Linked DNA regions of Stegostoma tigrinum. The protein of the gene in region 2 binds, or shares a complex with, the protein of the main gene of each other region. Links are inferred from orthologs where the notes say so. Each region holds a gene or a part of one and is shown on either strand. Other genes may lie near its edges. The genes, in order: gar1 and wrap53.

Region 1 (12,058 bases), on a different chromosome or scaffold from region 2:
CAGGAAGCATATTACATCATCTATTTTCAGCAAGCAAAGTGCTGTCTGTACATTTTAGCCCACACTTGCAAACCTTAAAAAGGCAATATTCAACATTAAATGTAATCTTGCAACTGGGCAATGTCTGCTAAGTAATCCCAAATATGACACAAATTACACTGAAACCAATTCACACTGTCATCTGGGCTTGCAGCATTGTGCACTTACACATTCTAGAAGGCACAGAGAGCTTAGTTCTTTGCAAATGGAGCATTTAACACACACTGCGCCTGTCTCAACTCAGAATGGGTTACAGCTATTCTCTGGTCCACTTCTTAGGGTTATTCCTTGATCAATTATAGCAAACCCACCTGATTTAAAATTTCCAAAGTTTTGCAGTTAACTATCAGTCAACATTTAACTGGTGTGTTCTCCATGACAACGCCTACAATCAGAGCCCACTTGTCAATTAATCAGCACTCTCTTCTCTCAGTATATAATGCTGTTTACTCTTCACATTAGCACAATTCACAAGTAATATCAACGTATGCCAGATGATAAATTTTAAATATGGCCTTTTATCACTAATACTTAAATTCTACATTACCAAAAGAACTATTACTTGTAGATGATTAAGTGCTGAATTTCTTTCTTTTCAGTCTAAGGTCATAATCTCTAATTATGCAAGTCATGATCTAGGTCAAATATCAAAAGATTAATACTTTCCAAGGGAATAATGGGTCTGTGGAACAAGCTACTGAAGTGTACAAATCATAATCAAGCTAAAAAAGTGGTCATACGGACATGTTCTTGTTGTACAAGTCAAAGCTACTTTTCCAGGTTCCTTTCCATTAATTAGCCTGTGTTTTTATTTGATTTAGACTTCACCCTGATCTCAATGGGGTAGTAGCGAATGTACACACTGATGTCTTTTCCTGTCTGCTGTCAATTATATGCAACCTCTGATCTCGTAGCACAAGATGCACCTTTGGTTTCCTAGATCCAATTCTGGCTCCCACTGTCACTGTCCACCATTCCCTTTTTCTAGACTGTGCCTGTAGCCTTCAAAACATACTTGACCCACCTACACTTCTTAGTTATTTCTGATTTCTGATTCTGATTCTTATTTTTCTGATGAAGGGTCTAGGCTTGAAACGTCAGTTCTTGTGATCCTAAGATGCTGCTGGACCTGCTGTGTTCATCCAGCTCTACACTTTGTTATCTCGGATTCTCCAGCACCTGCAGTTCCCAGTATCTCTTCTTAATTATTACTTCCTCTTGACATCTATTTTGTTTCAAAGTCTGTTTCGACGTGATGCTTTCTCATCTCGAAGGCCAAATCATTGATCATAGAATCCCCAGAGTGTGGCCTTTTAGCCCAACAAGTCCATGGTGACCCTCACAGCATCCCACCCAGACCCAATGCAACAAATGTACACAGCTCTGAACACCACCGGCAATTTAGCACGAACAATCCACCCAGCCTGCACATCTTTGGGCTGTGGAAGGAAACTAGTGTACCTGGAGGAAATCCACGCTGACACAGACAGAACATGCAAACTCCACACAGTGGCCCAAGGGTGGGATGGAACATGGGCTCCTGGTGCTGTGAGGCAACAATGCTAACCACCGAGCCACTGTGCTACCCCTAACTTTCTTTAGTCCAGTTTCCTCAGACAAACATTCTAAGTAGTCATTAGCCTGAAACAGCAACTGTTCCTTTCGCAACAGACGGTGTCTGACCCACTGTGTGCTTGTACTTTTCCCAACCCTCTGATCTCTCTAAAGGGACTGCTAAATTGCATTCTCCTTTTGTTACCTGTCCAAACTTCAGCTCCCTACCTGGCCACTCTTTCAGAATGAACAAGATCACTCACAAAACCTAGCACCTGCGAGATAAGCCTTAAAATCTCGCACTTTCATCAGCAAGATTGATTGCTTGCACTTTTTTCAAACGTCCCCTTGCTAACCATTTGCGTATTCCAGCTCATTTTTGTTAGGGATTAGGAAATTTTACTCTGCTGATTTCAAATAGGTGTCAGAAAGGGATACTGAACAGCCTGTGAGAACGACTCGCAGGACAGTACAGGAGAACTGGAGCCCATAAATCATTTCAAAAATGTGCATTAGAATTATGAAAGAAAAGCACTTCATTCCCAAGTAAATGGCTTTGTCCCAGCTTGAGAAGCTCTTCCTATCCTCTAAACCTTCATTGCTCAGGACCTCCTTATTTCGGATCGATTCCTTCACGCCCTAAACCAATCCAGGGGCCCTTATCGTCGCTGTAACTCTTCAGTGATCATCTCAACTGGGGAAACAAACACACGAAGCCAAGATAATAAAATGTGAGGCTGGATGAACACAGCAGGCCAAGCAGCATCTCAGGAGCACAAAAGCTGACGTTTCGGGCCTAGACCCTTCATCAGAGAGGGGGATGGGGGGGAGGGAACTGGAATAAATAGGGAGAGAGGGGGAGGCGGACCGAAGATGGAGAGTAAAGAAGATAGGTGGAGAGGGTGTAGGTGGGGAGGTAGGGAGGGGATAGGTCAGTCCAGGGAAGACGGACAGGTCAAGGAGGTGGGATGAGGTTAGTAGGTAGCTGGGGGTGCGGCTTGGGGTGGGAGGAAGGGATGGGTGAGAGGAAGAACCGGTTAGGGAGGCAGAGACAGGTTGGACTGGTTTTGGGATGCAGTGGGTGGGGGGGGGGAAGAGCTGGGCTGGTTGTGTGGTGCAGTGGGGGGAGGGGATGAACTGGGCTGGTTTAGGGATGCAGTGGGGGAAGGGGAGATTTTGAAACTGGTGAAGTCCACATTGATACCATATGGCTGCAGGGTTCCCAGGCGGAATATGAGTTGCTGTTCCTGCAACCTTCGGGTGGCATCATTGTGGCAGTGCAGGAGGCCCATGATGGACATGTCATCAAGAGAATGGGAGGGGGAGTGGAAATGGTTTGCGACTGGGAGGTGCAGTTGTTTGTTGCGAACTGAGCGGAGGTGTTCTGCAAAGCGGTCCCCAAGCCTCCGCTTGGTTTCCCCAATGTAGAGGAAGCCGCACCGGGTACAGTGGATGCAGTATACCACATTGGCAGATGTGCAGGTGAACCTCTGCTTAATGTGGAATGTCATCTTGGGGCCTGGGATGGGGGTGAGGGAGGAGGTGTGGGGACAAGTGTTGCATTTCCTGCGGTCGCAGGGGAAGGTGCCGGGTGTGGTGGGGTTGGAGGGCAGTGTGGAGCGAACAAGGGAGTCACGGAGAGAGTGGTCTCTCCGGAAAGCAGACAGGGGAGGGGATGGAAAAATGTCTTGGGTGGCGGGGTCGGATTGTAAATGGCGGAAGTGTCGGAGGATAATGCGTTGTATCCGGAGGTTGGTAGGGTGGTGTGTGAGAACGAGGGGGATCCTCTTGGGGCGGTTGTGGCGGGGGCGGGGTGTGAGGGATGTGTCGCGGGAGATGCGGGAGACGCGGTCAAGGGCGTTCTCAATCACCGTGGGGGGAAAGTTGCGGTCCTTAAAGAACTCAAGGCCCTCCGCTTCTTCCTGTCCCGCAGGCCCGACCAGGCCCCCTCCACCGACACTCTCATCCGCCTAGCGGAACTCGTCCTCACACTCAACAACTTCTCTTTTGACTCCTCCCACTTCCTACAGACTAAGGGGGTGGCCATGGGCACCCGCATGGGCCCCAGCTATGCCTGCCTCTTTGTAGGTTATGTGGAACAGTCCATCTTCCGCACCTACACAGGCCCCAAACCCCACCTCTTCCTCCGGTACATTGATGACTGTATCGGCGCCGCCTCTTGCTCCCCAGAGGAGCTCGAACAGTTCATCCACTTCACCAACACCTTCCACCCCAACCTTCAGTTCACCTGGGCCATCTCCAGCACATCCCTCACCTTCCTGGACCTCTCAGTCTCCATCTCAGGCAACCAGCTTGTAACTGATGTCCATTTCAAGCCCACCGACTCCCACAGCTACCTAGAATACACCTCCTCCCACCCACCCTCCTGCAAAAATTCCATCCCCTATTCCCAATTCCTCCGCCTCCGCCGCATCTGCTCCCACGATAAGACATTCCACTCCCGCACATCCCAGATGTCCAAGTTCTTTAAGGACCGCAACTTTCCCCCCACGGTGATTGAGAACGCCCTTGACCGCGTCTCCCGCATCTCCCGTGACACATCCCTCACACCCCGCCCCCGCCACAAGAGGATCCCCCTCTTTCTCACACACCACCCTACCAACCTCCGGATACAACGCATTATCCTCCGACACTTCCGCCATTTACAATCCGACCCCACCACCCAAGACATTTTTCCATCCCCTCCCCTGTCTGCTTTCCGGAGAGACCACTCTCTCCGTGACTCCCTTGTTCGCTCCACACTGCCCTCCAACCCCACCACACCCGGCACCTTCCCCTGCAACCGCAGGAAATGCTACACTTGTCCCCACACCTCCTCCCTCACCCCCATCCCAGGCCCCAAGATGACATTCCACATTAAGCAGAGGTTCACCTGCACATCTGCCAATGTGGTATACTGCATCCACTGTACCCGGTGCGGCTTCCTCTACATTGGGGAAACCAAGCGGAGGCTTGGGGACCGCTTTGCAGAACACCTCCGCTCAGTTCGCAACAAACAACTGCACCTCCCAGTCGCAAACCATTTCCACTCCCCCTCCCATTCTCTTGATGACATGTCCATCATGGGCCTCCTGCACTGCCACAATGATGCCACCCGAAGGTTGCAGGAACAGCAACTCATATTCCGCCTGGGAACCCTGCAGCCATATGGTATCAATGTGGACTTCACCAGTTTCAAAATCTCCCCTTCCCCCACTGCATCCCTAAACCAGCCCAGTTCATCCCCTCCCCCCACTGCACCACACAACCAGCCCAGCTCTTCCCCCCCCCCACCCACTGCATCCCAAAACCAGTCCAACCTGTCTCTGCCTCCCTAACCGGTTCTTCCTCTCACCCATCCCTTCCTCCCACCCCAAGCCGCACCCCCAGCTACCTACTAACCTCATCCCACCTCCTTGACCTGTCCGTCTTCCCTGGACTGACCTATCCCCTCCCTACCTCCCCACCTATACTCTCTCCACCTATCTTCTTTTCTCTCCATCTTCGGTCCGCCTCCCCCTCTCTCCCTATTTATTCCAGTTCCCTCCCCCCATCCCCCTCTCTGATGAAGGGTCTAGGCCCGAAACGTCAGCTTTTGTGCTCCTGAGATGCCGCTTGGCCTGCTGTGTTCATCCAGCCTCACATTTTATTATCTTGGAATCTCCAGCATCTGCAGTTCCCATTATCTCTGAAACATATGAAGCCATTGCCTTGAATTCAATTCTTTTGAATGTCACTATTGCAAAGCCTGCAGCGCAAAATTAAATGGCGGGGGGTGTGGGGTGAGCACAATGGAAATGTAGGAGCACATAGCTTGTCGTGAAAGCCAGTTTCTGGGTCGACCCTCTGAGCAGTCGCCATGCCTGTCACAGGAAGGAGCCCAAAGATCCGATGCACTCCCGGTGCAAGAGCCACTCCGTGCAACGTGGTCCCCCGGGCAGCGCGCGGCTCCACTCACTCACCGAACCCTGGCCCAGAGATAGAATGTTACCCGGAGCACGCGCTCCTTCTTCAGCCACGTGCACTCAATCCCGGCTGCAGGGAACAAAAAACACACACACAATCCTAAACTTAACCCGCTTTTTGAGTCCTGTAAGAACCTACTACTGCCTCTGTATTACAATTCCTTGAAATTATTTTACCTTTACAAACTTCAAGGACGCCTATGACATTTCAAACCCGGATCCGCCCTCGACATTGTTCCAGGGTTTTCAATGAGTGCATTACAGAGACCGGAACTTTACGTCAGTTTTGGGACGCTTCTTAACATCCGTGACCTGCCGTATTACAGTTACCGGTCTGCGTGCCCTCTTCGCAAGCGCACGGCGCGGTGGCGCACCCTCTAGCGAGAGAGTACGAGCATTGCACCAGCAGCGAAACAATTGGGAATTACAACTGGGCACCTTTGGTTTGGCAGTTCCTGGTGGCTCATGTCATATAGCTACGTTGAAGAGCCTCCCTCAAACTGCTGAGAAATTCTTTGCAGGGAAACTTTGAGCTGAATACTTGCAGAACATTACACGTATATGGGCGAGAACAAAGAATGTCAAATGTGCTCAGGATTGAATGTGCGAAACCAATGCACCCTTATCAGAGCAAGATGTTGAGTATCCCATTCCTGACCTCATGGAAATCTTCTCCGCTAGTTCTTTGCTAAGTTTCATAATGCTCACTTCTGGAGTTCGCTTCTTTTGACCCTGTATGGGCCAAAACCTAGTTTGGAGCTGCATGACCATGGCTGAGGCCAGGCTATCAGTGAGGAGGTTATTGGTGATGAGAGATAATAGGAACTGTTGATGCTGGAGAATCCAGGATAACAATGTGTAGAGCTGGATGAACACAGCAGACCAAGCAGCATCTCAGGAGCACAAAAGCTGACGTTTTGGGCCTAGACCCTTCTTCAGAAATGGGGAAGGGGAAGGGGATTCTGAAATAAATAGGGAGAGAGGGGGAGGCACACAGAAGATGGATAGGGGAACATAGAACATAGAAAAGTACAGCACAGTACAGGCCCTTCGGACCACGATGTTGTGCCTTGGAATAATCCTAATCCAAAAATAAAATAACCTAACCTACATTCCCCTCTATTCACTGCCGCCCATGTGCACATCCAGCAGTCGCTTAAATGTCACTAATGACTCCGCTTCCACAACTACCACTGGTAAACTATTCCATGCGCTCACAACCCTCTGGGTGAAGAACCTCCCTCTGACGTCTCCTCTATACCTCCCTCCAAACACCTTAAAACTATGACCCCTCGTGGCAGTCAGTCCTGCCCTGGGGAAAAGTCTCTGGCTATCGATTCTATCCATGCCTCTCATTACCTTGTACACCTTGGTCAGGTCACCTCTCTTCCTCCTTCTCTCCAGAGAGAAAAGTCCAAGCTCAGTCAACCCTCCTCGTAAGACAAGCCCTCCAGTCCAGGCAGCATCCTGGTAAACCTCCTTTGCACCCTCTCCAAAGCCTCCACATCTTTCCTATAATAGTGCGACCAGAACTGGACACAATATTCCATGTGTGGTCTCACCAGGGTTTTGTAGACTTGCAGCAAAACCTCACGGCTCTTAAACTCAATCCCTCTGTTAATGAAAGCCAAAACACCATATGCTTTCTTAACAACCTTATCCACTTGGGTGGCAACTTTGAGGGAGCTATGCACTTGAACACCAAGATCCTGCTGTTCCTCCACACTGCCGAGAATCCTGCCTTTAATCCTATATTCAGCATTTAAGGTCGACCTTCCAAAATGCATCACTTTGCATTTATCCAGGTTGAACTCTATCTGCCATTTCTCAGCCCATCTCTGCATACTGTCAATGAAGGAGAAGATAGGTGGAGAGGAGACAGACAAGTTAAAGGGGTGGGGATGGCGCCAGTAAAGATGAGTGTGGGTGGGGATGTAGGGAGGAGATAGGTCAGTCCGGGGAGGACGGACAGGTCAAGGGGGCGGGATGAGGTTAGTAGGTCAGAGATGGGGGTGGGGCTTGAGGTGGGAGGAGAGGATAGGTGGGAGGAAGGACAGGTCAGGGAGGCGGGGATGAATTTCGCTGGTTTTCAGATGTGGTAGGGGGAGGGGGAGATTTTGAAGCTGGTGAAGTTCACATTGATACCATTGGGCTGCAGGGTTCCCAAGCGGAATATGAGTTGCTGTTCCTGCAACCTTCGGGTGGCATCGTTATGGCACTGCAGGAGGCCCAGGATGGACATGTCATCTGAGGAATGGGAGGGGGAGTTGAAATGGTTCGCAACTGGGAGGTGCAGGTGTTTATTGCAAACCGAGCAATGTTCTGCAAAGCAGTCCCCAAGCCTCCACTTGGTTTTCCCAATGTAGAAGAAGCCACACCAGGTACAATGGATACAGTATACCACATTGGCAGATGTGCAGGTGAACCTTTGCTTGATGTGGAAAGTCATCTTGGGCCTGGGATGGGGGTGAGGGAGGAGGTGTGGGGGCAAGAGTAGCACTTCCTGCGGTTGCAGGGAGAAGTGCTGGGTGTGGTGGTGTTGGAGGGGAGTGTGGAGCGCACAAGGGAGTCGCGGAGACAGTGGTCCCTCCAGAAGGCAGACAAGGGTAGGGAGGACGAGGTAGGTGGTGGGGTCGGATTGCAGATGGTGGAAGTGTCGGCGGATGATGCATTGTATCCAGAGGTTGGTGGGGTGGTACGTGAGGACTAGAGGGATTCTGGTTTGATGGTTATTACGGGGACGGGGTGTGAGGAATGAGTTGTGGGAAAAGCAGGAGACACGGTCGAGGGCGTTCTCAACCACTGCGGGGTGGATGTTGTGGTCCTTGAAGAACAAGGACATCTGAGATGTACGGGAGTGGAATGCCTCATCCTGGGAGCAGATGCGGCAGAGGCGAAGGAATTGGGAATAGGGGGTGGAATGTTTGCAGGAGGGTGGGTGGGAGGAGGTGTATTCTAGGTTGCTGTGGGAGTCAGTGGGCTTGAAATGGACATCAGTTACAAGCTGGTTGCCTGAGATGGAGACTGAGAGGTCCAGGAAGGTGAGGGAGGTTTTAGAGATAGTCCAGGTGAACTTAAGGTTGGTGTGGAACGTGTTGGTGAAGTGGATGAACTGTTTGAGCTCCTCGTGGGAGCATGAGGCGGCACCGATACAGTCATCAATGTACCGGAGGAAGAAGTGGGGTTTAGAGCCAGCGTAGCTACAGAAGAGGTATTGTTCCATGTAACTTACAAAGAGGCAGGCAAAGCTTGGGCCCATGCGGAGGCCCATATCCACCCCTTTTTTCTGCAGGAAGTGGGAGGAGTGGAAAGAGAAGTTGTTGAGGGTGAGGATGAGTTCAGCCAGGCGGATGAGGGTGTTGGTGGAGGGGGACTGGTTGGGTCTGCGGGACAGGAAGAAGCGGAGGGCCTTTAGGCCATCTGCATGGGGAATGCAGATGTATAGGGACTGGACGTCCATGGTGAAAATGAGGTGTTAGGGACCGGGGAATTGGAAGTTCTGGGGGAGGTGGAGGATGTGGGTCGCATCACGGGCATAGGTGGGGAGTTCCTAGACCAAGGGGGAGAAAATGAAGTCCAGATAGGTGGAGATGAGTTCGGTGGAGCAGGAGCAGGCGGAGACAATGGGTCGACCAGGGCAGGCAGGTTTGTGGATTTTGGGAAGGAGATAGAAGCGGGCGGTGCGGGGCTGGGGAATGATGAGGTTGGAGGCTGTGGGTGGGAGATCACCTGAGGTGATGAAGTTGTGGATGGTTTGGGAGATGATGGTTTGGTTTTCGGGGGTGGGGTCATGATCCAGGGAGCGGTAGGAGGAGGTATCGGAAAGTTGGCGTCTGGCCTCATCGATGTAGAGGTCAGTGCGCCATACTACAACTGCACCTCCCTTATCTGCAGCTTTGATGGTGAGGTTGGGGTTGGAGCGGAGGGCTGCCTGTTCTGCGGGGGAGAGGTTGGAGTGGGTGAGAGGGGTGGAGAGGTTGAGGCGGTTAATGTCTCGACGGCAGTTAGAGATGAAGAGGTCGAGGGAGGGTAGTAGGCCTGGGGGTGTTGTCCGGGAGGAGGACTTGTGTTGGAGGCGGGAGAAGGGGTCAGTAGAGGGAGGGTTGGGCTCACGGTTAAAGAAATAAGCGTGGAGGCAAAGGCGGCGGAAAAACTGCTCAATATCCAGACGCGACAGGTATTCATTGATGTGTAGTTGTAGGGGGACAAAGGTGAGCCCCTTGCTTAGGACTGACCCTTCGACCTCAGTCAGAGGGAAGTCTGGGGGCATAGTGAAGATTCGGCAGGGCTCAGTGTGGCTGTCTTCTCTGGGGTTGCTGGCTGTGGAGGCTGTGGGCGGAGCGATGAGGTCGTCAGCTGTGGGCGGGGTTCCGTCGGCGTCAGCCGTGGGCGGGGTTCCGTCGGCATCGGCTGTGGGCGGGGTTGCGTCGGCATCGGCTGTGGGCGGGGTTGCGTCGGCGTCACTGGTGGGCGGAGTTGCACCGGCCTCGGCTGTAGGCGGAGCTCCATGAGCATCAGCAGTGGGCAGAGTTGTGTCGTCGTTAGTGGTGGGCGGAGTTGCGTCCACATCCGTCATGGATGGAGCGGCGTCGGCAATGGGCAGAGCCGGGTAGGTGGTGGCAGTAGCGGTGTCGGTAATGTCTGTGGTATTGGTTTCGGAAGTGGAGGCGGTGGCTACAGCAGCGATGGTGTTTGCTGTCCCGGAAGTGGTGTTCCCGGTGGTGGCGGATGTGACGTCATCAGTGGGTATTCCGACAGTGGCGTCGTGGCCAATGTCAGTGGGCACATTGTGGGGAAGGTCCGGGTAGGGCTGGGGATTTGGGAGGTGGAGGAATCCCATTTTAGGTGGCAGGGGCCAGTGAGTTTGCTGTGCTTACGGTTTTTAGTGGCTAATGAAGCTGAGTAGAATTGTGAGTTCAGGTTGTGGATCCTACGAAGAATAAAAAACAGGAGAGGTCCTTTGCAGGTCTGGGAGAGAGAGGCTCTGAGCTGGAGTAGGCTGGATTTCAGTGCCTGGAGATGCCGGCGTATGGCTGCGAGTGTCTGTTTCAGGACTCGCAGGGAGAAACGCTTCTGAAGGGTCTCAATGTTCTGAATGTAGATATTCTCACGGCTGGGGCAAAATTGGGAAGGCTTGAATGTGGACTGTAGTCCATTGGGGATGATCTGGTTCTGTAGGCAGGTGCTGAGGAAGGTGATGTGGCTGTAGTACCTGGTTTGCTTCAGGACGTGGTCGAGTAGTTTCAAGGCCGAAGAGATTACGAGAGAGTTGCAGTGGGAGAGAGATCCCCTGAGGTTTCTCCGGAGGGTAACTTCTTCAGGTCAGGCATCCTTAGAAGAGGCTTCGCAGTGGGGTCAAAATTGTATCAGAGATAATGGGAACTGCAAATGCTGAAGAATCCGAGATAACAAGGTGTGGAGCTGGATAAACACAGCAGGCCAAGCAGCATCTTAGGACCAGGAAAGCTGACGTTTCGGGCCTAGACCCTTCATCAGAAGTGGGGGAGGGAAAGGGGGCTCTCAAATAACTTGGTGCCAGTCTTGATGTGGATTTTTGTGTGGTTTGTACAAGCCATACTGCTGGGTGTGTAGGCACCTCATTCTGGGCAAAACATATGAAGATGAGATGGTCTCTGAAAGCCCTGACATATTTTTTGGTCAAATTCCAAAGTCACATGACACAAGGTGAGAGTCCAACAGGTTTATTTGAAATCACAAGCTTTCAGAGCACTGCTTTCAAATAACTGGGTGTCATGGAACTTCTGACTTTGTCCACTCCAGTCCAACACCAGCTCCTTCACATCACATTTCTCGGTGCCATGATTACTTGCTCATGTTCTTCTCTGTTCCCATCGAAAAGCCACGTGGCTGTCGTTGATTATATCCTGGGAACGACATGAACCATATTCTTGCAGTCTGGCTGTTATGATCAATTGTGAAGCTAATTAGTGTTTTGACTCTTCAGAGCAGACCATTCATCATCTCTTGAATGTATCGAACTGTGGGAACATCTCCCATGGAGCCCTGGAGACGTTTTGGGCCACAGTAATTTTGAAGATGATGGAGAAACCTCCAAACCCGCCGGGTGCTGCTGAGACCCACATAGATCAATAACCACCCCCGGGAAACCCATCGCCAGATCTGACATTGTTGGACAATAGAAGGTAGTTGATGCACATTCTGAACACAAACCAATATTCACAAACAACATTGACAGCCCTGTTTCTTTTCTTCTGAACTCTATCCCTTTGGCCTTTTGTTCTGTGTCACTATTTGCCAAGGCCCACCCAGAAGACCTTCTAGCGTCCGTCATTGTAAGTATACTGAGTAAGTGAGGCCCAACACAATCCACAAGCTGTGACTAAGGCAGGTAAAGATATGACCAGAGATAATGGGAACTGCAGATGCTAGAGAATCTGAGATGTACACAGCAGGCCCTGCAGCATCTTAGGAGTACAAAAGCCTAGCCGAACTCATCCTCACCCTCAACAACTTCTCTT
Region 2 (11,807 bases):
AGGAACGTTCAGTCCCCGCAAGCCTGTTCCATCATTCCATGGGCGGCTGTGAGGTTACAGCGTGAGATATCCTCTTCAGTCTCTGATATGTGGCTCATTCTCATTCTATTGGCACACATTTCTTGGGAATTCTCTTCAAAACCACTTCCACTATCTAACTTGTGGCCTCCTTAGAAACCTGATCACTAAAATCACAGCTTTTGTGTCAGTTGATAGGATTTTTACCTTTTGAGTCACAAGATTCTGGGTTTGAATCCATTTAAGACTTGAATGGAAAAATGAAGGCTGTCAGTACCTAGAGAGTGCTGCACAGTTGGTGGCACTGATCTTCTGATAAGATATTCAACCAAGGTTTGGGTTGATGTAAAAGATCCCTTGGCACTACTTTTACTAAAAGCAGGAGAGATATCCCTAATGACCTGGCCAATATTTATTCCTCAATATCACAATCAATCAATATCACAAAAAAAGGGTGATCTGGTCATCACCATGAGTAGCACATTGACTCAGTGGCTAGCAGTGTTGCTTCACAGTGCAAGAGACCAAAGTTCGATTCCAGCTTCGGATGGCTGTCTACGGGGAGTTTGCAAATTCTCCCCATTTCTGCATGGGCTTCTTCCAGGTGCTCCACTTTCCTTCCACAATCCAAAGATGTGCAGGTTAGGTGGATTGGTCATGCCAAATTACCCATAGTGTCTGGGGATGTGTAGATTAGCCACAGGAAATGCAGGGTTATAGGAATAGGGTATGGGTGGGTGGGATGCTCTTTGGAGGGCCGCTGTGGACTCAATGGGTTGAATGGCCTGCTTCCACACTGTTGAGATTCTAGGATTCACTACATTGCTGTTTCTGGAAACTTGCCATGTGCCAATAATCCACATGATTCCATTGTAATTATGATGACACCTCTAAAGTACAAATTGGCTGTGAAGCACTTTGGGATATCCAAAGGTTGTCAAAAGAGCTACACAAATGCATGTCTATCTCAGTTTACCAACTCTACTTTCTGCTTGACATCTGCCTCTAGTTCCCAATTTGAATGGTGTGAGAGGTATAGATATTTTTAATCAACCTGTACAGAGAATGTATGACATACCTCTGGAGCAGATGGGACTTCTGGTTCAGCAGGAGGGATACTACCACTGCGTACACCCCTTGCTAAAGAATCCCAACTAATTTTCACAAATGAAAATAAATAGTTAGTTGTAAACCCAGCGCTCGCTGAATTGGTGAACCTAGCCACTGGAAGCTGTGGACAAAGAGGGCAATGATTGTAATCCTGCATTTGAGTCACCCTCCCCTTAAACATCACTGAAACTAATGGGATATATGCCAGCTGTTATCACATGACCTCCAGACACATTTCCTCATTGGACATCCAAACTGTCTATCTTCACTACATTCTGACTTCCCATGGCTATTCAGAAAGCATACATTGCTCGCTAACTGATCGGATCACCCAATCGAACAGTCTGTTTCTCCCAGATTACCCTGCCATTACTAAAAGCATTAATGCTCCTCACGAACAAGGTTCTTAACCACAATTGAAAGTAAACAAAGACCATGGTTTCGCATATAGCAATAACCTGAAAATGAATTTTTAAATTCCCCAAAGCAATTCGTAGAATCAGAACCATAGAACATGACCATCTGAGGAATTCCATCTTACTAGTGAACTTTTCCTGCATTTATTGCTAATTCTGTTCCTGTTGACATTTCTTGATATATCAGTGTTACTATCTCTGTCCCATTACTGTGGCACAGATGGTTGTTTTTTTATACAATAAGCCAATTCCTAGGTTTTGTAGGACAATAAAATGTTGATGTTTACAGTTAAATATATATTAAAAAAGAGCACGGTTGTCTTTCCTGATTTGACAGTTTTTATACAATGTCAGCTGGACATCCTGGATATTTTGTAACACAAGCTAATTAACTCAAGATTTAGTGAGATTACAGGTCTCGAGGTTAAAAATAACACTTGAAGAGCAAGGAATTTATGTTTCCTTAACTTCAGCAAGCATCCTTGAGTATGAGAGGGTTGCCTAACTATAGGTTGTGCTGTGACTGATCTTGCTACAAGGAAGAGTAAGAATGTAATTCCCAGAATGGGGATCACACCATGCTGTTGTGCCAACTGAGCTAACTAGCCCCTCAAAATAAGAGTTAAGCCCCTTGAAGGGGTTGAAGAAAGTTGAGAGAAGATTTGATAGAGAAGTTCAAAATCATGAGGGGTCTAGACAGATTAGATGAGAAGAAACTGATCCAATTGCTGTAAGAATCAAGAACATGGGGACACAGAGTTAAGGTAATTGGTAAAAGATCCAATGGCAACATGAGGACAAAAATTGCAGAACTATGGTGGGGGTGGTTGTTGGAAACAAGTGAGACAAAATGAGTTGTGCTCATGCAGCCAGGCGAGGGCAAAACAGGCCAAAAGGTTGTGCTGTAACTGTTTTATAATTCTATAACATTAATCTACATCAGCATGGTTTAGAGCAAGAGCAGATGTTTTGCTGAAAGATCAAAAAAAGTGGTCTGTGAGTTTTAAATTCATGTTGATCCTTATGGTTTGACGAGCCAAAGTTGGCACATGGCTTCACATCACATCTGAATTATAGCAGGATTTGGTGTGAACCTGAATAGTGTGAGGTCTCTGACTAATTTAATTTGATCCTGTCTTGACAGCAGACATATTTATCCACTGCCAATCACCCAGTCTCAGTAATTCACACCTCCCTATTCAATCTCTTTGTCGCATGTTTTCTCTACTCAGTCTTTAAAAGAGCCATCAAGTTAATTGCCCTTCCCTCCTCTTTCTTGGCATGATCCTGCAACTTTTCCCTTTAAGCGGTCACTGAATTCTCTTTTCAAAGCTGCTACTGAATTTACTTCTACTGCCCTTTCAGGCAGTGTGTTTCAGATCACCATAGCTTGCTGCACTAAAGGTAAAAATTATCTGCGCTCTGTTTCCATTCACAATTATCTCTATTCGATGTCCTGTGATTTCGTGCATCGCAAACAATTTTTCTACCCACATCCATGATTTCAAACACCTCTATTCAATATCTCCTGAACCTTCCCCGTTCTCAGGAGAACGAGACCAGCTTGTTCAGTCTTTCCACATCACAAACATCTTCTCTAAGGCCTTGAAATTGCTCATAAAGCGTGGTGCCTAGAATCAGACTGAATTAATATGCTTCATAAGTTCTTTGCTTTCCCACTCTATTACACTATTTATGACTCATTGATCTGAAATGCTGCTCTTATTATAATGGAAAATGTTATTGCACAGCAGTTACTCCTTTGCTGGTATTACCAACTGGGCAACCTAGGAGCTTATCCTCCATTTACAAACGAAACAGAACTAAACAAAATGTTAACTTTTTAATAAGAATTATTAATTGTAACAACTTAATTTTTAAAAAAGGGTTACAATTCGTCTTTAGAATCAACTGGAGTTATATACAAATGTTTCGATCAGTACAGTATTTTTAAAAAATCAAAAATATATTGTACCCTTATCGGTCTGGAGAGTGCTGTAAAATATACAATATACATCCATATTTACACGTATTTTAACATATTTAATAGGCATCCCAATAATCCACCATCGGTTAAAATCCTGGACATTTGTGGGTATTGCAGGTTTAACTTTGCTGTAAGGATGCCATTGTGTCAGCTTGCAACTGAAAGGAGCTGACCTGGCCTTCACTGTCTGTGGGACGACAGTCTGGAGGAAGCCCAGTATGGCTTGGAGAACGTTTCTTTGGTCGAAGAAGGAATGTCACCTGACACCACAAACTGTGGGGCATGATTACACACCCAGTTCCTTGACTTTTGCAAATTTGAGCTTTGGTGGAGTCTTCCTCTTGGTTTTCATGGGATCATCAGTGTTCCTGATGGTTTTGTACAATTCGATTGCATGTGAAGTCACAAAAATCATCCAGAAAATGTGCGAAAGCAGACGTGTGATGAGCCCAAACCATTCCAACACACGCACACTGCTTGGGAACCAATTTTGATCAGGCAGTGACAAACTCAGGAGGCTAATCTGTAAAATCTCATATAAGAATATCCAAATGATGTAGCCTGCCACTCCCCAGAACACCTCCTTCCAGATAGATACGAAAAAGAGAATAATTGCGATCAGAGTGAGACAGACAAAGATAATTGATATGATGCTGTATATTTGAAGTCGGGAAATTTGATTCACGGAGCTAGGAATAACCTGAGGCCTCAAGTAACGAAAATGCCCCGCTTCAAAAATGAGCTGCATGATGGATACCATCAACATGAACAGTCCAGCCACAATACTTCCTTCTTTGGCGTTCAACCCACACAAATTTCCAGATTTCAGTTTTCTCAATCTGTTGCGCAAGCTACGAATGTTCAGCATTTCGTTTCTTGGTGCTGTACATCCTTCTGAAAGTTGAGGGGCTTCTTTTTTTCAGCAAATTGGATCGTGAGGCAAGATAAACAGTTCACTGAAACAAATTTTACAACAAACATTGGTACAGTTGATTCCTCTTTCCTAATTTCTCCAGATCTAGAACAAGTCCAATCTGGTGCAAACTCTGTAAAACTCCTCCTTTTAAATACTCCCTATAGGACAATGACATGTAGCTACCCCAAACTGACTCAATTTGCTATAAATAGTTGTTTACAATATTAGGATTCAACAAAGTTTGAACAGGCAGGCAATGGGCCTTCCACAATCAGCCACTTGGGCCATTGGTGGAACTTGGGGAGTAGGGGGCTCTTCTCCTTCCTCGAGACGATTGAGATGCGTTAGGAGAAACCTCTTTACCCAGTGAGTGGGGAAGATATGGAACTTGATCCCACAAAAGGGGAGTTCAGCCAAATAGGAAGTCAGAGGAGTACATGAAGGAGAACACAATAGAAGGGCATGTCTGTAGGATAAGACAAAAGAGGCCGTAATGGAGGATAAATCAGCAACACAAACCAATTGTGTTGAATGGGCTGGTTTGCCTTCTAATTATTCCTGAACTGAGGGGAAGCAATATTTAGGAGGAACAAACGTGATATAGCTTTCAGCTATGAAATGTGTCCTTTCAGAGACTTTTTTTTCCTGTTTTGCATACAGCCTACAGTGGCACAATGTATGTCTGCAACTCAATGCTTTAATAGTCAGACAATTCACAAACTGAAAAAAAATTGTGAAGGTCCAGCAAATCTAAAAAAAAAATTCTATCTCCCAAACTATGAATACTGAAGATATATCTGAAAGCTAATATTCCAGACATCCTCAGATGAATAAATAGAAACATAAATCCACAGATCCCACATTTTTCACAGGCCCAGTACACTAAAAGCAAGTTTCCAAACTCCTCCAAAAATCCTATCATCCTCCAAACTATTAATAACCCTGACATGATTTAAATTATGAAATCCAGATATCCTTGTAACTACTGTTGGACCAGACGTATCAAAAATATAATTCCATGCATCCTCCAAACTGTGAAGAGTCCAGGTATTCTCAAAATTCTTTCAAAACAATTATTCATTCTTGCACAACTCTGAAATTTGTATATAGACCAAAATTCTCTTAAATTTATAAGATCTCCAAAATTGATGAGAATCCAGATATCCCTCAAACTTGCAAAGATTCAAGTAGGATATAACAAGAACTGCAGATGCTGGAGTCAAAGTCAATACAGCGTGGAGCTGGAGGAACACAGCAGCTCAGGCAGCATCAGAGGAGGAGGAAAGTCAACATTCTGGATCATCAGGATTGATGAAGGGTCCTGAACCGAAACGTCAACTTTCCTGCTCCTCTGATGCTGCCTGACCTTCTGTGTTCCTCCAGCTCCACACTGTAAAAATTCAAATATCCCTCCCGTGACATCCCTCTGTGCCTGTAGCTAATTCAGGGCACAAGTCAGAAGTCCAAAGGAACACTCTCCAATTATCTGAAAAAGATGCAGCTCCAACAACCCTCAAAACTTCACACCATCCAGGTCAAATCAATCAATTTGATTAGCAACGCTCATAACACCTGTGTCAAACCATCATTATCCAACTACCATTGGTTCACCTGTGCCCAAACTACATTGGTCCATGTGTCCAAATTACCATTAGTCTACTTGTACCCAAGTCATCATTGGTCAAAATACCATTGGTCCACCTACGCACAAAGCATTTATTGGTCCATCTGTGACCCAAAGCCATTATTAATCTACCTGTTTCAAAAGCATCATTGGTCCAACTACCATTGGTCCACCCATGCCCTCAAATCATCACTGGTCCACTTATACCCCTAAACCACCATTGCCCATCTGTGCACCCAAACCCACTATTGGTCCAAATGGCATCAGTCCACAAATGCTCAACCACCATTGGCTGACCTGCACCCAAACCACCACTGGTTTACCTGTCCCAAAAGCACTATTGGTCCTTCTGTCCGCAACCACCATTGGTCCACCTGTACCCCCCAAACTACCACTGGCTCACACTTCCCAAAAGCACTATTTGTCTGACCAGTTGTGGTTACCTGAGCTCAAACACCATTGGTCTACCGGTCTCTAAAGCCCCATTAGTCTAACTTGCATTGGTCATTTTGCGCTCAACCATCAGTGGTCCACCTGTATCCCCAATTCACCATTGGCCCCTCTGTACCCCATATCCACCATTTGTCCATGTTTGTCCACAAGCCCCCAGCGGTCTATTTGTATCCCCAGACTGCTATTGGTTCATCTGCATCCCCAAAACATCATTGGTCCATTTGTATCCAAAACACCATTGGTACACCTGTATTCCAACAGCTATCGTTGGTCCACCCAAAGCACTATTGGCCCAACCACCATTTATCCACGTCCCCCATTTCCCCCTGTACCTGACCCACAATCGGTTCACCAGTTCCCCGGACCATCATCGGTCCGATGGTATCCAAGCCTCTCAGCGTACCAATTGCCGCCGGCCGCAAGACTCGCCGTTTATTTTTGGCCTCTTGAGCTCTTTGGGGCCTAGCGCCATTTTCAGTACTCACGTTCCCCCCCACCGGTTCGGTTGCCATGGCAGCGGCCCCGCCCCCGCCTCAGTGACGTGTTTTGAATTTCCCGCGCCGCTGCCCAACGGCCCCCATCCCACCGCGTCTGCTCGCACGTGATCTGGCCGCGCAGCCAACCGCCATCTCCCGGAGGACGGGCTGGTTGGTCGCCACTACGCCTGCGTGGCAGCCCTGATGCGGCTCAGAAACTGCTGGAGAGACTCAGCAGCGTCTGTGGATAGAGAGGGGGAAAAAAAACCCAGAATTAACGTTTCAGGTCCAGTGGCTTTTTCTTCAAAACTCATTGTAGCTTGGAAAGGGTTGATATATATGTTAGAGAAGGAGATCGGAGTGGAGGGACTGGGTCGTGATCAGCCTGGGAGGATCTATAGCTGCTAATGGGGACAATTAATGGCTGACAGTGGGATAGTTTGTGGTAGTAGGCTGTGTGATGACAAGGCCTGGTGTGGTTTCGGGTTAGGGGAAGGTGCAAGATGCTCAGGTCTTAAGGGCAGAACCTTTAAGAGTACTACTAGGCAGTGGGATCTGGGTGTATAGGTATACAGGTCACTGAAAGTGGCAACGTGGGTGGAAAAGGTAGTCAGCAAAGCACGCTTGCCTTCTCTAGCTGGGGCATTGAGTTTAAAAATTTGCCGGTAGTGGTGCAGCTTTATAGAACCTTAAGTTTGGCTGCTTTTGGAACGTTGTTGCTTGGCCTGCTGTGTTCATCCAGCTTCACACTCTGTTATTTTGGAATATTGCGTTCAGTTTTGGTTGCCACACTAACAGAAGGATGTGGTGACTTTGGAGAAGCTACAGAAAGATTTACCAGCATGTTGCCTGGCATGGTGGGCCTGAGCTATGAGAAGAGGTTGGAGAAACTTGGGTCTTTTGCACTGGAATGTCGGTGGTTGAGGGGAAACCTGATAGAAGTCTAGGCCTGAAATGTCAGCCTTTGTTCCCCTGAGATGCTGCTTGGCCTGCTGTATTCATCCAGCTTCACACTTTGTTATCTTGGATTCTCCAGCATCTGCACTTCCCATTATCTCTAGAGGTCTACAAGATTGTGAAGGGCATGGACAGACTGGACAGTCATAAGCCATTTCCCAAGGTGGATGAGTCAGTTACCTGGGGCCAGGGGTTGAAGGTGCGAGGGGCAAGGTTTAAAGGTGATTTACGAGGCATTTTTTTTTACAGTGTGCCTGGAACTCTGCTGGGGGTGATAGTGAAAGAAGAAACTATAGTGACTCTTAAAGGGTGTCTTTACAAATATATGAATAGGATAGAGGGATAAGGTCTCTGGAAGGATAGGGGGTTTTAGTTGTGACGGGCAGCATGTCGGTGCAGACTTGGAGGGCCGAAGGACCTGTTCCTGTACTGTAATTTTCTTTGTTCTAAAATTATTGAACTTGATTTGAATGTTGGAGTAGGCATGTCTTGCTGCAGTTATATAGGACCTAAGTGAGGCCACACCTTGAGAATTATGAGCAGTTTTGGTCTGATGAAGGATGCTTTTGCTGTTGAGGAAGTCCGGCGAAGGTTCACCAGACTGATTCTCGGAATGGAGGCATTAATGAATGAAGAAAGACTGGATTGACAGGGCTTGCACTTGCTGGAATTTAGAAGAATGAAGGTTGGGGGAGGAGGTGTTCCCAAAGAAACACAAAATTGTGATGGAATTCGACAGGCTGGATGCAGGAAGAATGTTCGTGATGTTGAAGTCCAGAACTAGGGGGTCACAGCCTAAGAATAAAGGCAGAAATCGCACAACACCAGGTTATAGTTCAACAGGTTTATTTGAAGTCACAAGCTTTCAGAGTCCACCCCCTTCGCCAGATGAAGACGACAGGAAGTTTAGGGTCATTTGTTGCAGACAGACTCGAGCTATGTGCCCATGGATCCAATATTTTCCTTGTAGAAGGTTAACAGTTAGCACTTTATTTTAGGTGATCCCAGCCTCTTTCCCTCTACATAAACCTTGCCATAAACTCTCATTTTTTTTTGGTTAAAATTCAATTTTGTCTTTTGTGCTGCAATGTAAGGTAGTCACTAGGAAATCCAATGGGGAACTTGGGAGAAACATTTTTACCCAGAGAGTGGTAAAACTATGCAACTCTGTCCCAAAGGGAGTAAATTTTGCAAGTCTGGTAGTATTAGTGGGGAGAGAAACAGTTAATGTCTTGAGTCCTGTGACTTTTCTTTGAAATATGTTATGTATTTTATGGGTTATTGGACTTCTTTGAGAGTGACCATAAAATAGTAGGGTAATTAGTTTGTAATTTGGTCCATCAAGCCTGCTCTGCCATACATTAAAGTTTTGATTTGACTTTATCCCTTGTCCCCTTTTCCCTCCCCATCCCCAAATAACCTGAATTCCAATTGTGAAGTCAAAGACCATAGAAACAGACCCTTCAGTCCAACCAGTCTGTGCAGACTATAATCCCAAACTAAACTAGTCCCACCTGCCTGCCTTGGTCTATATCCTTCCAAACCCTTTCTTTTTAATGTACTAATCGAAATGTCTTTTGAATGATGTAACTGTACCTGCATCAACCACTTCCTCTGAAATTCATTCCACATATGAGCCACACTGTATATATTTTTTTAATAAAGCTGCCTTTTGCATCCTTTTAAATATTTCCCCTGTTGCCTTCAACATATGAAATCTCCCAAAATAGGGAAAAGACACCTGCAATTCACCTTAACTATACCCCTCAAGATGTGTAGAAAACGTTATGATCATGTGCCTTCATTATTTCACCAAAACATACCTCTGAACCTGCAAAGAGACATTAGTTAAGGCTTTGAGGTTTCACATTCCACAATAGAAACAGCACATCAAACAAATAATCCCTTAAAAGGAAATAAAAACAGATCTTGTTGGAAAAGCTGAGCAAGTCTGGCAGAATGGATGGAGAGAAATCAGAGTTAGTGTTTCAGCTCCTTAGACCCTTCCTCAGAACATAAAAAGGCCTGGGATGGATGTGAGGAGACTTGTACTTTCTGAATTGAATCTGGGGATGCAGAGTTTGCATCCATGACCACAGAGGGTGCTGTGATTTGGCTGCTCAGGCATCCATATAACTAGACCCCAACAGAGTTCAGTTAAATTGGCAAGAAAACTCCATACAATGCAACATAAAACACTCATTTTGAAACAATTGCAGCCTTGCATCCAGGTCTGAGTTCATACTTTGGGAAACATGGAGGCATTAGAGGAAGTGCAGGAAAGGTTTACTGAGAACAGTTCCTGGGATGAGAACTTCAGACATATGGTTAGATTGGAGAATGCAGAATAAGGTCTATTGAGTCTGCACTGATCTTCTGAAGAGCATCCTACCAGATCCTATCCCCATGTGCGGTTATTATCCACCTAGCCTACACATAATTGGACATTAAAGGGCGATTTAGAATGGTCTGTCCACCTAACCTGCACAGCTTTTGGACTGTAGGAGAAAACCAATGTAGACAGTTGCTTGAGGGTGGAATTGAACCCAGATCCCCATCACTGTGAGGCAGCAGTGCTCACCACTGAGCCACCATGTACTTGGAGTTTTTTTTTGGAGAAAAGTGGGTCTAGAGGAGATTGGATAAGGAGTTCTTGGCAGAATCGATAGAGAAAGACTGTACCTACTGATGGAAGAATTGAGAATGAGAGGTCAAAAATTTAAGATAATTAATCAAGGAAGTAATGGAGACATGATAAATATTTTTCATGAAGTAAGTTTAGGATCTGGAATAAATAGCCTCAAGGTATGGTAGTGGAAAGTTCGTTTGGGACATTCAAAAGAAAATTGTCACCTGAAAAGGAAGAACATGCAGGCATATTCTGCCTATGCTGTAACAATTTTATCGTCCAGAGTCTTGGTGAGTGAGGGGTTGATGCGGTAGGTGTAAGAACTGAAGCATTTGTGTTTCAATTACGGAGCAGAATCTGTGTGCATTAACGAATCTACTCTTCATGTTTGTTGAAACCTAAAGACTGCCATCCCTTCCATCCACCTTGCTCATTTTATTGATTAACCACAGTGTAGTTTTTAGGCCATGGTTTCCTTTTTGTTAATAATGTTTACCAACTGAAAACTCACCTGATGACATTTTGGCCCAGAACACGTTAGTTCATCCCAGAAACATAAATACAGAAATTAGGAGCAAATTACTGCAGATGCTGGAACCTGTACTGAAAATAACAAAGGCTGAAGATCATGGCAGGTCAGACAACATCCATGGAGAGAGATCAAGCTAATGTTTCGAGTTGAGATGATTTGAAATGTTCGCTTGATCTCTCTCCATGGATGCTGTCTGACCTGCCGTGATCTTGGCATTTGTTGTCCTCAGTAAAAACAGAAATTGTTGGAGAAACTCAGCAGGTTTGGCAACATCCATGGAGCAAAAAGAATTAATGCGTTGAGTCCAGTGACCCATCTTCAGAGTTTTGTTTTTTTTAACTGAATGTTTTTGTTTGTTTTCAGTCTCTGCAGTTCGTTGTTTTGCTTTGGCTCATTCCAGGAATTTCCTGGAAAACTGGGACTTGGTCACCCTTGTTTAGTAGTTGAATACCAAAAGTTCCGAAGTGTATTTTGAGTTTCTCTGTCAGTTGTTTATTCCTACATTCCAGGTAGGCAGTGGCCTAGTCGAATCATCATAAAGTGTTAATCCACAGACCCAGGTAATGTTCAGGGGACCTGCCACAGCAGATAGGTAGAATTTGAATTCAATAATAATCTAGAATTAACAATCTAATGATGACCCTGAAACCATTGCTGATTGTCAGGAAAGCCCCTTCTGGTTCACTAAT

The links.
Region 1: wrap53 (region 2) and gar1 share a complex: the UniProt entries of both Homo sapiens proteins name them as parts of the telomerase holoenzyme complex. The link is inferred for Stegostoma tigrinum from reciprocal best matches to the Homo sapiens genes WRAP53 and GAR1.

What each region holds. Positions count from the first base shown.
Region 1 is NC_081354.1:61,440,016-61,452,073, reverse strand, and holds the start of gar1 (H/ACA ribonucleoprotein complex subunit 1), read right to left. Parts: upstream 5,886-12,058; 5' UTR 5,736-5,885; intron 5,629-5,735; 5' UTR 5,556-5,628; intron 1-5,555. UniProt on the Homo sapiens protein: Required for ribosome biogenesis and telomere maintenance. Part of the H/ACA small nucleolar ribonucleoprotein (H/ACA snoRNP) complex, which catalyzes pseudouridylation of rRNA.
Region 2 is NC_081398.1:3,817,891-3,829,697, reverse strand, and holds the start of wrap53 (telomerase Cajal body protein 1), read left to right. Parts: upstream 1-7,179; 5' UTR 7,180-7,286; intron 7,287-7,715; exon of another isoform or gene 7,716-10,876; intron 10,877-11,807. Other genes in the region: transmembrane protein 217-like, read right to left, coding at 3,818-4,399. UniProt on the Homo sapiens protein: RNA chaperone that plays a key role in telomere maintenance and RNA localization to Cajal bodies. Specifically recognizes and binds the Cajal body box (CAB box) present in both small Cajal body RNAs (scaRNAs) and telomerase RNA template component (TERC).